Linked DNA regions of Macaca fascicularis. The protein of the gene in region 1 purifies or fractionates together with the protein of each later gene. This does not show direct contact. Links are inferred from orthologs where the notes say so. Each region holds a gene or a part of one and is shown in the gene's direction. Other genes may lie near its edges.

The links.
Region 2: the proteins of PPP2R2A (region 1) and PPME1 purify together in Homo sapiens (affinity purification with mass spectrometry; 3 studies listed by BioGRID and IntAct, with this or other methods). This does not show direct contact. The link is inferred for Macaca fascicularis from reciprocal best matches to the Homo sapiens genes PPP2R2A and PPME1.
Region 3: the proteins of PPP2R2A (region 1) and CDCA4 purify together in Homo sapiens (affinity purification with mass spectrometry; 4 studies listed by BioGRID and IntAct, with this or other methods). This does not show direct contact. The link is inferred for Macaca fascicularis from reciprocal best matches to the Homo sapiens genes PPP2R2A and CDCA4.

Annotation. Positions count from the first base shown.
Region 1 is NC_088382.1:29,477,859-29,482,451, forward strand, and holds the start of PPP2R2A (serine/threonine-protein phosphatase 2A 55 kDa regulatory subunit B alpha isoform), read left to right. Parts: upstream 1-1,360; 5' UTR 1,361-1,671; coding exon 1,672-1,678; intron 1,679-3,525; coding exon 3,526-3,600; intron 3,601-4,593. UniProt on the Homo sapiens protein: Substrate-recognition subunit of protein phosphatase 2A (PP2A) that plays a key role in cell cycle by controlling mitosis entry and exit. Involved in chromosome clustering during late mitosis by mediating dephosphorylation of MKI67.
Region 2 is NC_088388.1:73,043,198-73,047,765, forward strand, and holds the start of PPME1 (protein phosphatase methylesterase 1), read left to right. Parts: upstream 1-1,421; 5' UTR 1,422-1,590; coding exon 1,591-1,691; intron 1,692-4,568. Other genes in the region: C2CD3 (C2 domain-containing protein 3), read right to left, coding at 908-962. UniProt on the Homo sapiens protein: Demethylates proteins that have been reversibly carboxymethylated. Demethylates PPP2CB (in vitro) and PPP2CA. Binding to PPP2CA displaces the manganese ion and inactivates the enzyme.
Region 3 is NC_088381.1:173,203,930-173,208,753, reverse strand, and holds the start of CDCA4 (cell division cycle-associated protein 4), read left to right. Parts: upstream 1-1,677; 5' UTR 1,678-2,257; coding exon 2,258-2,539; intron 2,540-4,824. UniProt on the Homo sapiens protein: May participate in the regulation of cell proliferation through the E2F/RB pathway. May be involved in molecular regulation of hematopoietic stem cells and progenitor cell lineage commitment and differentiation.

The DNA of each region.
Region 1 (4,593 bases):
AGGTAGGACTGTCATCTTCATCTCCTGAGCTTTGGAATCACATTAGGCAGCCTGGCTTCAGAGTCCAGCACTTTTTGTGTTTTTGTTTTTGTTTGGACAGGATCGCATTCTGTCTCCCAAGCTGGAGTGCAGTGGTGTGATCACACAGCCCACTGCAGCCTTGACCTACTGGGCTCAAGCAATCCTCCAGCTGCAGCCTCCTAGTAGCACTATAGGCACGCCATCATACCTGGCTAATTTAAAAAAACTTTTTTTTTTGTAGAGATGGGTCTCCCTATGTTCTCTAGGCTTAACTCGGAACTCCTGGCCTCAAGCGATCCTCCCACCCCGGCTTCCCAAACTGCTGGGACTGCAGACGTGAGCCACTGCTCTTAAACGCCCAGCTCTTAAGCACGCAGTACACCACGTTTAGCTGGAGAGACGCCAAGTCACTTCTTGGGCCATACCCTTCTCATCACAAACTCAGGTTTCTCTTACAAACCACCCTTAGTGCCTGCAGTGCCCAGGACTCCTGCCTTGGTTCCTGGGGCCCACGCGAAGGTGACTTAACTTACCTAGATGGAACCAGCCCAATGGTGTCCCTCTGAACACCGTGAACTTTCACCCCGGCTGAGCAGTAAGTCTGCACCGCTCTCCCTTTCTTTGCGGCCTCAGGGCTGACCCAAAGTGACAGCCCTTTTTACTTACTCTTCCTTTTTACTTACTTTCCTAAGTAGTAGTGCGAGTATTTTTTTTTTTTGACGCGGAGTCTTGCTCTGTTGCCCAGGCTGGAGTGCAGTGGCGCGATCTCGGCTTACTGCGACCTCTGCCTCCCGGGTTCAAGCAATTCTCACACCTCAGCCTCCCTCGTGGCTGGGATTACAGGCGCACACCACCACACCTGGCTAATTTTTGTATGTTTTTTTAGTAGAGATGGGGAGTCACCATGTTGGCCAGGCTGGTCTCGAACTCCTGACCTTGTGATCCGCCCGCCTCAGCCTTCCAAAGTGCTGGGATTACAGGCGTGACCCACGGTCCCCGGCCCTGGTATTCCTAAAAGACGTAGGACCCCACGAATCCCTGCAGGCGAGGACGTAAACTGGACTGCTGAGCCCGCCCCAGAGCTCCCGCGCTAGTGCGAGAGGCTGGGACACTGCCAGGTGCATACAGCCGCGGCCTGGCGCAGGCGGAGCGGGCAGATGGGGTGCCGTGGACAGACGCGGGAGCGGCGCAGGCCCCGCCGGTCCGGACGCGGAGGGCGGGGCACGAGCGCAGCAGGAAGGGGGCGTGGCCAGGAGCAGGCCCGGCCGCTCCCCCGCCCCTCCCCCTCTGCTCTCCGCCCCAGCCTGGCAGCTCCGCCCTCTGCGTGACGTCACTGGCCAGGCCAGCCGGCGCCATTTTGAAAGTGGAGTCGCCTACCCCTGCCGCTGCCGCCGCCGCCGTCGCTGTCGTAGCCGCCGCTGCCGCTGCCGGAGAAAGAGCACGAGCGGGGAAGCCCCAGAGTGAAATCTAGCATCCTGCCGGCTGGTCTGCCCGCCCCTCCTTCCTTTTCCCCCGGCCCCCGTCCCCTCCCCCCGCAGGTGCCATCCGCCGCCATCCGCCCTCTCTACCCCCCCATCCCCAGGTGAGGGGGGTGAGTTCAGGAAGCGGAGACCCCGAGGAACCCAGCAGGGTCACCATTTGCAGCGCAACATGGCAGGTAAAGGAGAAATCCCCCTCGCCCCCTGACAAGGCACCGCTTCCTCCTTTTTCCCTCCATCACCCCCTAGCGACCGCCCGCGCCTCGCGCGGAGCCATAGGACGCCCCTCGGGTTTGAGGGAGTAGGGTCCAGAGGGGTGGGGTGGGGGCGGGGAGGGCTCCCAGGAGGCAAGTGGTCACAGTGAGAGTCACTGGGCTTGGAGAACGGGGCTGGCGCCGTGGCGGTGGTGGGGGTGGGGTGTGCCGGCGAGCTTGGGGTGAGGCGTGGGTGGGGCGGGGTGGGGGCGCGTGCAGATTTGTCCCTCCCGCTCGGGAGCCTGGTGGATCCTCTCCCACCTCCCCACCTCGCCCCTCGCCTTTTTTTTTTTTTCCTGCAGGTCTTCATTTAATTTGTATTTTTTCCCCTGCTGCAAGTCTTCTTGGGTGTATATACACATTTATTTTGCACCGAGAAGGAAGAGCGCTTTACAAGTTAAAATACAATGGGGGCATATGTGTATTTTTCCCCCCACTGTGGATGCCAGTATTTTTGAGACTGGAAGCCTAAATTTTTTGTTTCGAACCATTTCGTTTCCGTTTCTTCCCTCTTACCGCCGAAGAGTGCAAGGCCTTTCATGTACAGCAAGTTGCATGAAAATAATTTAAACTTTCCGTTTAGTATGTTAGCTTTTTTGCAGATGTCCTTTTCCCAAAAGGGTTTGGTAGAGTTAGTTAAAATAGTTGCGGAGTTCAGAGATATAAATAGCTAGGAGGAGAGAGATTTAGGTAGAAGCTTTGAAAGGGAGGGGAAAGGATGTAGAGAGAAAATCAGTTTAGGAATAAATTTAGCAAGGAATAGGGGTGATAGGGGAGAGAGAAGTAATGTAATTGCTTTGAGAATTCTTTTTGTACATGTTGGTGTTGCTAAATCTTTTCCTTCATGTAGTAGAATCAATTCCGGATTTAGATTCAGTTTCTTTCTCCCTAGAGCCCCAGGACATTTTCACGATTTCGACCTCAGTACTTGCACGTGAAATAGAAACATTCCGCGATGAGACCAGTTTTCCGTGCTATTATATTCATTATTTAGATAATTAAACCTTTTGAAAAAGTTAACGTGTCGGATTGACTTGTTTGCTATAAATAAGTTGCTTGTTGGCCTTGTTGAATAATGAAATGAGATTAAAATTGTTTTGCACGAGATGACATGTTAGCGAAATGAATTCTTTGCCAGGTCCTTTGGAGTCGAGAGATGAGGTGAAGGGAGGCAGAACAAGCTTCCTTTGACAGTCTCTTTAGCAGCATTCATTTCGGTTTCTTTTCCTCTCTGTCTGGAGCCAGTGATTTGCTGGTAATGAATGCAAAGAAATGGGTGTAGTGTTTGCTGTGTGTGCACTTTGGTGATAGGGTTCATATGAATCATTACTTCTTACCCAGGCAGTAATGTTCCCGAAGTTTTCTCTTCGTTCTATGTTTCATGGTAGTTAACCTTATTAATTCTTCTGCAGGCTTTTTGTACACTTAAAAAGAAAACTCTTTAACTCTTGGTATTTACTTTTTTTCTGGTAGGTCTTGCCTGAATGTAAGGCTTTTACTGTATTTGAGAGGAGGTTTGTGAACAGATGTATAATGACCGTAGATCATGTGCCTTTAAATAATTTCATACCTGGAATGTTTGTTTTTTTCTTTTTAGTACAGTACCAACTATTGGGGTCTCATCTTTTTCCAAACTGGTACTCTTGGTGGTAGTTGTATGTGTGGGCAGAACTAGGCTGTTAGTATCATGCCAACCATGGATACCATCTCTGTGTTTACGAGAGTCAACATAAGCAGAACTCGGTTTTAATTGGTATGTTTTATTTTTCCAGGAGCTGGAGGAGGGAATGATATTCAGTGGTGTTTTTCTCAGGTGAAAGGAGCAGTAGATGATGATGTAGCAGAAGGTAAGAAAGCGTTTAATAATGCAAATTTTGGATATGTAATTTTTTCAGAAATGTTTCCTACTGAGGGATTTCCTTGAAGCCGAAACTACTATAAATTCAAGATGATTTTGTGTTTATTGTCCAAGAAATGTAAGAACAGTTTTAAAAGTTACCTTTCTGAGAAACAGCCTTAAATTTCATTTATTTATGCCTTGTTTTTATTATTTTTTCCTCTGAATTTATATGAAAGGTGATGAGACATACAAAATCCTCACGTGAAAGCTGTGAGCTGCATTTAAGGGTTTCTTTGTTATGTAAATTCCACATACAAATAAATGGCGATGCGTTTTTATGTTTGTACATTGTTTTAGATAAGTAAATTGAAATAGGTGCCATCAGCATTTGGTTCAGAAACATTCTTAACAGCGTCTTTGATTTTTATGGGAAGATTTTTAACTACTTTTGAATTTGTCCACTTTGGGAGTGTGATGCTGATTGGCATATTCTGTGAAGAAATGATAGCTCAGGTTATTCGTTTTGTTGTCTTTCTAGTATTTAGGTGGATAAGACAGTAACAATGCTATGCATATATTGCTTGTCTTCTAGGAAGCGTTATTCTTGTGCAGGTAGAAACTGTGTTTGATCAGTTGAAGTGCTTAACGTCTAATTTTCTCCCCATATTTGTTTACTAATGTGTTTCAGAAGTTTAAGTTTTGGAACTTCAAGGTTTTGCATTCATTTGAGATGGTCTTAGGCAGCAGAGGCATTTCCCACAAAGTTGTTGCATTGTTTCATTCCTCAGAAATGTTGACGTTTTTTAATGGTATTGTGTGTCTTGAATTACAGTAGGAATTTTCCAAACAAAACTCATAAATTTAAACATGTACTTTTGAATTTTAAAAATTTGGTGAAAATTCATAAACCTTTTTTCCCTAGATTGTGTTGTCCTCATATTTCTGACCTGTCTGTAGGGTACTCTTTTGGAGGTTTTTTTTCAGTTGGTGGGTGGTAGCC
Region 2 (4,568 bases), on another chromosome or scaffold:
CTTGGATAAGAGTAATTCCCAGATTGTAGCTTCAGTCCTCAACCTAATGGCCTAATGTCCTATCACTGCTCCAAACCAATACTTCTTTTCTCACTAAACTGCCTACGATGCAAAAAGGCAGGTTCACCCACTGTCCTTTTTCCCTTCGAGGCAGTCTTGTAGAGATTCAATATCCAGTTTCCTGATCTGCCCTCGGTCCCCAGTTTGACTGTTCTCACTGCAGCTAACATCCCCTACTCGGTGAGCCTGTGTCTCCTCGAGGTGTTAACCTGATAAGGACTCTCTGCTGTACACTCTTTCACGATCTCAGGTCCTTCAGGAGAACCTCATGCCCTTACCCCCACTTCAATCCTATCACACTTGTCATTCCCCACTCTTCCCCGCTCTATACTCTACAATTATTTTTTCCCCAACTCCTGCTCATAGCCAGTCCTTCATGCTTCATTCATTCAACAAACATTTACCGAGTCCTGCTTTGTACTAATCCTTGGTCATTCAGTAATGTATAAAACGTGATTCTTGTCCACAATCACACAAGAAATGATATCATCCCTTTGCCAATTTATGTTTCTTCCTGTCCCTGCGGACCTCTAAAGCTACTCGCACACATACATTTCACTTCGTTATCAAAACCAATCCTATTATTGTTTGCTCTTCTCCTCTACAGTCATCCCACCGGTAACCTTCATCTCATTAATCACCACTTTGTGGCCCCTACCCCAGCCCCTAATTCCTTTCTATTCTCTGGAGGGCCAATTGCCCTTCCTTTTAACCTTCTGGTCCCCTGGCTATTTCCCTTCTTACGTCCCTTTTCTTGTTTATCCAGCGGGGGTGGGGGTCTCCCTAAAATTCCTTACACCCTGCTCCCCTGTTAACGCTTTCCTCAATCTTTGATCGCTCGGGTTACCTCTTTTTTTGCGCCCACGGCTGCCCCCAGGCCCTTGGCCTTTACGTTGCTTCATGATGAGCCCGAGCTCTTCTTCATCAGCACAACTCTGTCTCCACCACCTAAGCAGCCGCCTCCCGCCATCCCTCCCCACGGCGCCTGCGTTCCCCGGCAACCGGCGCCGCTGGGCAGCCTGGGAGGCAGGAAAAAGCCACTCTTCCTCTAACAGTCTCCGGAAAACAGTGGGAAGAGAAGGCGCCAAGACGCCTTCCCGCCAATAGACTACAATACCCAGGATGCTTTGCTACAATACCTCTGCGGGGTTGGCTGGGGGCGCCTCCGGCTGCGCAAGCGCATACGGATACGCCCGTTGAGGACTCCATTGCCCAGGGTGCATTGCCCTGAAGACGGCTCCTCTTTCCGGTGAAAGTTGTCGGGTTTCCAGTTGGGAGTCTGCGGAGTTCGCAGACTCTGTTACCCAGCTTCCTTTGTGTGAGGGCTGTTGCGCACTTCCGGTGGAAGTGCTGAAGCGAGTGGGTGGAGTTTGCAGAGCCGGTGGGCGGTAGGCGGTGCTACCGGTAGCTGGGTGCTGTCCAAAGGCGACTGGGCGTCGTTAGGGGAGCGAGTCGTGACCGGTTGGGCCACACTCAACGTGGGACGAAGGTTCGCCTACTGTTTGACTACGTGCGTGCAGCCTTTCCTTGATGTCGGCCCTCGAAAAGAGCATGCACCTCGGCCGCCTTCCCTCTCGCCCACCTCTACCCGGCAGTGGGGGCAGTCAGAGCGGAGCCAAGATGCGAATGGGGTACGTGACCCATACTCCTACCTAGGGGCCAGGCCCCGGCCATTGGAGAATGGTGGCTCTGAGCGTTCAGAGAGGCACGGGGAAGGAGTCTACCGATAGGAGAAAATGTTGGCGGCGGCCTGGAGATATTTAGATGGAGTAGAAGGCAGATTGGGGAACTAGGGGAGGCGCCAAGTCAATAGAAACTGGAGGAAAAATAATGTTGTTGGAGGGAGAGGGGAATGAGGCAAAGGTTGGGGAAGCTGAGAGACTAACATAACTGAGAATCACCTCCAGAATGAAGGAGGTTTAGAAAAAGGTGACAAAGGTGGAGGAAAATCGGCCAGGGAAGGTGGAGGGAAATGGGGAATGACCGAGAGAAAAGTTGAGGGGAATTGAGGCAACAACTAAGAAAAGGTTTGGGAGGAGTGGATATTGTAAAAGTTCTAATATGTATACTGTGAGAACTAGATAGTAGAAAAGCTTAGGGAGTTGGACAGGGTTGGAGAACGAAAGAGGAGCACTAGGAAGCAGACGATTCTAGATAATTCCCAGAGGTCTAAAGACAGTCAGGGAATGAGAGGTGAGATTAGGCCTCTTAAGGGAGAATGAGAAAGTTTGGGGAGTAGGCCTAAGGTAAGGTGGAGAATATAGCCATGAAGATTGTTAAGGGTAATAGGAATGTGCTGAGAAGCTGGACAGGATAAGGGAGAGAGAAGAAGGAGAGGACTGAAGAATTTGCAAAGTGACCATAGGCTCTAAAGATTGAGAAATAACTATAAATGCGGTTTGGTGAATGGAAGTGCTGCAGTTGTAAGGTCTGGGAAGCTTAGAGGAAGATTTGGGCAATCAGTTTTTGCGGGGCTAATAGATCTGAGGGAAGCAATGTACTGGCCTAAGACTTTGAATTAGTGAAGCATTGGGAGTTAGGGAAACAGTTTGCTGGAAAGAGAGGAGAGCCATGTTGAAGAGATAGGCTTTGGAATTTTAGATCATTAAATGGCTTGTGCCAGGTTAGGGGATACTTGGGCCGAGGACAAAGAATGAGGTGAACATGGGATAATTGCTGGAAAGTGGAGACAATTGAATAGGCATTTGGTTTTGAGGGGATATTTGTAGTTTCAGACAGGATTCTGGGAATTAGTGACTGTAAAGAGAAAAGGAGTAGGAAGGATACTTAGGTATGAGGACTCAAGAGTATATTTGGGATTCTAGAGATGAATTGATAAATATTCTTTGAAAAAGGACTACAGAAGAGAAACCTTAGGTTCTGAAGAAGTAATGTGTGTAAAAACTTACCAAAAGAAGCGAGAATAGGAGATGCAGTACTGTGACAGTAAGTCCTAGGGATGAAAAGAAAGGAGAATCCTATAAAACAGTGGGGTAAAGGAATGGGAAGAACAAGTGGAAAAACCAGGGAAGGAAACTAAGAATTGAAGTGGAGACCTGCTGTGATATACAGTAGAAAAAGGAGAAAACCTTAGCAGGGGGAGATAGAGAGATGGACGCACAATAGAGGAGGTAGAAGGCTACATAGAAGGTAAAGTGAAGATTATTTTGACTTTGGAAGATCGAAAAGTTGGACTATAACATGAATAAAGAGAATTTGGAAACTGACCCATAACATTATTTGGGAAAATTAACCTGGAGTTTAATATTAATGTAACATTAATTGTTATATATCTTCATTGCTGCCTTTCTTAAACTACAATTTGATCTTTCAGTATACCAGCACTCTTCTATACAAATACATAAGAAAATCAGATTTTTAATAATTATACATTCTTTAGATAAGTTTAATTAGGGCTCAGCTTCTCATTTTGTCAAAACAAGTTCTCTGAAGATTGAAGAACTGGGTGAAAATACTGAGAGAAAATAAAAGGAAAATCTGCTGATTAGAAGATTGTATAATTGTTAGTAATTCATCGTTTTTATTTTGTATTACTTTTCATTTTATTTTTTTTAGAGACAGGGTCTCGCTGTGTTGCCCAGGCTGGAGTGCAGTGGCACAATCTTGGCTCACTGCAACTTCTACCTCCTGGGTTCAAGTGATTCATGTGCCTCAGCCTCCCAAGTAGCTGGGATTACCGGCGTGCACCACCATGCCCGGCTAATTTTTGTATTTTTAGTAGAGATGGGATTTCACCATGTTGGCCAGGCTGGTCTTGAACTCCTGGCCTCAAGTGATTTGCCCCACTTGGCTTCCCAAAGTACTGGGATTATAGGATTGAGCTACCATGCCTGGACAACTTACCTTTTTAAATAGATGCTTTGGTCTTCTTGGTTTAGGGTAACTGCTTATCCTGGAAAAGAAAGTTCTTTAGAAAGGCCTTTCTGTATGGTAGTATTGTGAAGAAAATTCACAAAAATATGGTAGTATTGGTGAATATTTGTGTGGTCCTCAAATGGCTTATTTTCCCGTATTTTTCTTTTCTACTTTATTGGTACATAAGCAGGCTTCATCTAAGTCTCATGGTAGTAATAATGCAGATTCTCTTTCTCCTTAGAATCATAAAGCTGAAAGAGAGCATAGACATGGATCATTTCACCACTTCATCATGTAGTTGAGGAACTGAATATTCAGAGAGTTCTGTATTCTGTAAGGGAATGTATTAATAAATGAGGGAACTGAGACTCAAATATTCCTAAAGCACCCTAGAAGCTTAGCGGTGGGGCTGTTAAGGACTAGGACTTGGGTCTCTTGACTGTGAGACCCATTGTGTATTTTGAAGTCATAATTGTCATCTGGGAATACTTAATTTGAGTTGTGTATCTTACTCCTTTGCATATAATATAGGATTCAGTCTTTTTCTTCAGTCAGTTGTAATTTATGAAGTCTCACACCAATTTCAAAGCATTCTTTATGTCTCCTTATACTTGCTTTTTTCTTAACTTCTA
Region 3 (4,824 bases), on another chromosome or scaffold:
CCAAACCACTTTTCTTTGGTGATCTAGATTTCATTTGCAGAATATCTGTATATTAAGGAATTTAACCTTTATGTGCGATACAGCCAGGAAAACCTTTTTTCCCCATTAGTCTTTTCACTTTGATATGCATAAACTTTAAAGTCTCAGGTAGTCACCTTTGTCAAGTCCCATTTTCTTTTACCTGGAAAATAACCTAATAGGATTTTCTACTTCCAGCCTTCCTGCCGCCTCCTCCAAATCTTCTACCAACAGTGATTCTTGGTGGTTGTAGTGACTCATGCCTGTAATCCCAGAACTTGGGGAGGCCAAGGTAGTTGGAGCCAGGAGTTGGAGCCCAGCCTGTGTAACAAGGCAATACTCTGTCTCTACAAAATTACCAAAAAAAAAAAAAAAAAAAAAAAAGGTTAGCTTGGTGTGGTGGCACACACTTCTGTAGTCCCAGCTACGTGGGAAGCTGAGGCGTGAGGATCACTTGAGCACAAGAGTTCGAGGATACAGTGAGCCATTATCACGCCACTGTCCTCCAGCATGGGCGAAATAAACCCGTTTTGTTTTTTTTTTAAATAAGAACAGTGATTCTTTTCAAGCATAATTCAGATCCCAGTTCCTTCTCTGCTGACCGTCCCAGTAGTCTCCATCCCACTCAGAGAACAGCCTCAAAATCACTCCACCTCTCACATTTAAACTTTCCCACGAGATCACAGGGTTCTTTTTCACTGCACTGAGACTTCTTCCTGCCCCTGCCTCGGGCTTTGTCCTAGCCATTCCTCTCCTGGAATACTCTTCCACTCTTCCTTTTGGTGCTTTAAGACGCCTCTTATCCTAGAGACCTATGTGAGCAGCGCCCCAACGTCACTCCCAGCTTTTTCCGACAGCATTTCAGCATTAACCACTGACCTTGGCGCATCCGCATCTGCGGATTCAGCTGAGGATTCCCCCACCACCAGCACAGGGTTCTCAGCTGCAGCCACGCCTGCCGGGCCTGCTGCAGGCGTTCAAAGAATATTAGACTCTTGTATCCTATTTAAAACCTTTTCCACTAAGAGATTTAAAACACGTGTTTCCCTGCTTTCTACTTTCACGTTACATTTCTTACGTGTAAACCTGGGAAGCCTCTAGAGATAACCGCGGTTTCTGGAGAGGCTGGGATAGACTTCGGAGCCCAGGCCGCCCGGGAACTGCCGTTCCCGGCTCCTCCCCACCCCGGCACGGATCCCTCGGCAGAGAAGTTAACCTAGGCAGAAGCGAGAGAGGATCAGCCCCTACCAGGCTGCCCCGCCACGCCCTCCCGAGGGCACCACGTGGGCCCCCAGCGCAGGCGCATTCAGTTTAGGACCAGACGTGCGGAGACCTGCGAGCCGGCGGGGCTGGGCGGGGCCGGATTGGGCGCGGGGAGACCTGGGAGCCGGCGCGGCGTGGGCGTCGCGGGGCCCGGCGCGGAGGCGGAGGCGGGGGCGGGGCGACCGAGGGCGCGCGCGAGCCCCAACGGCCGTCGCCGCAGCGCGGGAACACGCGCCGCAGATGCCCCGCCCGCGCGGGTTTGAACAAGAGGCCCCGCCCCCGGTCCGTGGGTGGCCAATCAGTGGGCACGGCGCGCGGAGGGCGCAGCGTCGACCCTTTGTGGACGCTGAGTGGCGGTCGCACGCCCCGCCCCGCGCCGGCGGGCGCTCCTCCCTCAGCGGCGGGAAGCTGGTGGCGGCGGCGGTGGCGGCGGCTGAGCAGAGGAGCCGGCGGGCGGCCTCGCGGGTCAGGTGAGCGGGTCTGGCTGACCGCGAGGGCGTCTACGGCGGCGCGCGCGTTTGTGCTGCCGGGCGCGGAGGAGCCCGGGGGCGGTGCGCGGAGTCTGTGGCTCCTGGCGCTGGCTTGGGTCCGGGGCGGAGGCGGCGCTCAGGGTTCCCGCTGGGGCTGCCGCGGGCGCCCTCGCCGCCCTCCTGGGCGCTGGTTCCACCGCGGGGTGGCCGCTGCTGAGGGGGCCCGGGGAACCAGAGGGGCCCGGGCCGCCGTCTGCGTTCCATGCGGATTGCGGAGCTGGGGCTTCGTCGAGGCCTCCGGGCGGCCCCACACGGGAGCGACTTCGCGAGGGCCCGGCTGGGGTACGCAGCGGCGTTTCCTGTACCTCGGCTCTAGTTGCCGCGGAGGGAACGCCGGGCGCGCCCCGCCACGGCCGCCCCCGCCCTGTCCCGGGCCGACCTCACTAACCGGGCCAGGGCGCGCTGCAGCCCCCTCAATTGGATCCCGGCCGCGGAGAGGGCCGAGGATGTGGGAGGAGGCCCAGACCCCGGGCGGGTCGGCCAGCGCCGTCTTTCCTGGGCTCCTCCGGCGTTCCGAGGTGGGATTAGGAAGAGTCCCCGAGACATTTGCAGAAGTCAGAGGCAAGCTTCCCTGCGCGTTTTCAAACGCTTCTCGTCCAGTAAACAGGATCGTCGTGACAAAGGCTCGTACAGCTTGCTGGAATAGAGGGTCTCCGCTGCCTCGCCTCTCCTGTGGCCTTCGTGTGGGACTCACGAGACGGCAGGACCCAGATAACCGTTCTCTCAAAGTGAGCCACAGAAAAACATCGCCTGTTCCCAAAACTTAGGTTTTATAAACTTTCTACGTACAACCACTCTATTTTCAAGTGTCACCATGTTTTATAATTAGGGTGGAAATCAACACAAAGTGAGTTACACCCTTTTTCTAGGAAGAGTGGTAGGCTTTATCTTAGAAAAGGGGCCAGGAAGTTTCCCTCAACTTGCCATTGGAACATGTTTTCAGGGAAAGGAAGGTGTATCGTTCCAAGTAACAAAAGTACCTGAAATTAGCTGGGCGCGGTAGCTCACACTTACCAGCACTTTGGGAGGAGGCCTAGGCGGGTGGATCACCTGAGGTCCCCAGTTCGAGACCAGCTGGCCAACATGGTGAAACCCCGTCTCTACTAAAAATACAAAAATTAGCTGGGCGTGATGGCGCATGCCTGTAATCGTAATCCTAGCTACACGGGAGGCTGAGGCAGAAGAATCACTTGAACCCGGAAGGCGGAGGTTCTCCAGCCTGGACGACAGAGCAAGACTCCGTCTCAAAAACAAAACAAAACAAAAATAACCCCTGAAATTAACGTATCAGTAATTGTTCAGGAACAGCCTCCAGCAGACTGTAGTGGAAGGTGGAGCTCCCACTCAGTAGATCTCAAGACTGAAGACCTTGCTCCTCTTCTTCCTGTTTTTCCGATAGAGTATTTCAAAGCTTATCTGATGTGTGAGAAATGGAAATTGTTGATAATTTGCTTAACCCGAAACTTCGAAGTGGCTGCAAGTCCAGCTGTGAAGGTGACAGGTTAGGTCAGAGTTGAGTCTGTCCCCAGCAGTCCCAGCCCTATTGGTCAGAATCTGGGAATCTGCATTTTCAGCCAGCCTCATGGGATTGCTCAGCCACGAAGGTGTGGCGGCTGCTGCTGTAGTGAAGGGCCGGTCCCTCAGCTGTACTCTGCTTGCCTGAGTAGCACTGCGGGGCTGCTCTCTGCTGGCCTCTGCCTCCGTGGGCTTAGTTTACTCTGTCCCTAGTGGCCTGTAGGCTGTCCCACCTGCCATGTCAGACATATCTTCAGTCTGTCTGACCCTCTTGGTTTTTCTCTTTCTGGTTGATGCTTGGTTTAGAAGCCTAAGGGCGGTGCTGGGAGTTGACTGAGGGGTGAACGACTTGGCTGTCCCGTTGACACCCTGTGGAGTTGGTGGGATTTTAGGCATTTACCTAGATGTGTAGAAGGAGCTTCAAAACTGAGCAGGGGGTCAGGCATGGTGGCTCACACTTGTAATCCAACACTTTGGGAGGCTGAGGTGGTCGGATTGCCTGAGGTCAGGAGTTGGAGATCAGCCTGGACAACATGGTGAAACCCCGTCTCTGCAAAAAATACAAAAATTAGCCAGGTGTGGTGCCACGTGCCTGTAGTCCCAGCTACTCAGGAGGCTGAGGCAGGAGAATCGCTTGAACCTGGGAGGTGGAGGTTGCAGTGAACTGAGATTGCATCACTGCACTCCAGCCTGGGGGACAGAATGAGACTCCTTCTTAAAAAAAAAAAAAATTGAGCAGGGAGCTAGGCTCCACAGCCCCGCCCGTATGGTATAGGGCCCTTCCTTCCATATTAGAAGGAGTTAAGCAGCCTCAGGCCAGAGTCACACTGGAGGCCCTCAGGGAGCTGGGCCCAGCCCAGGCATCCCTCAGGGCTGGTCAAGATGATGCTCTTGGTGACTTTGTCCCAAACACAGATATGGCCCAATTCAGGGTGATCCTCACAGGCCAGCTTCTCCGGGCCCAACCTTATCCTCTTCACCCCTGAACGCACGTTGTGGGTGACAGCTCTTAGGGGTCACGCGACTGTAAAAAACACCTGTGAGCTTTACTCCTTTTTGTATTAATAGTAATAAACTTGTTAGCATTTTAAAATATTGGGTACAACACAGAATTAGCTGCTGGAGATTTGGAACATTGGACAGCAATGATTTGAAGTGACTGAACAGGAATATTCTCATGGTACCAGAATGGGATCTGTGGATGGGATGAGATGCAGTGGAGGATGATGGAGATTCTCTCTCGTCCCTTGTAGGACTTGTATAACCCAGGCACATCTACGCAGGTCCCTGGGTTACGCAAGTGCTACAAGGGGCGAGAGAATCTCCATCATTCTGGAGGATTCCCTCTGGCCCCTTGTAGCATTTCCCACCCGGATGGTGGCTACCCTTCTGTGTTTTCACAACTTCCATTAACTTTGCCTGTCCTGAAGGTTCGGATCAATAGAATCCTACAGTACGTATTTTTGTGTGTGTCTTGCTGCTTTTATTCAGCATAATG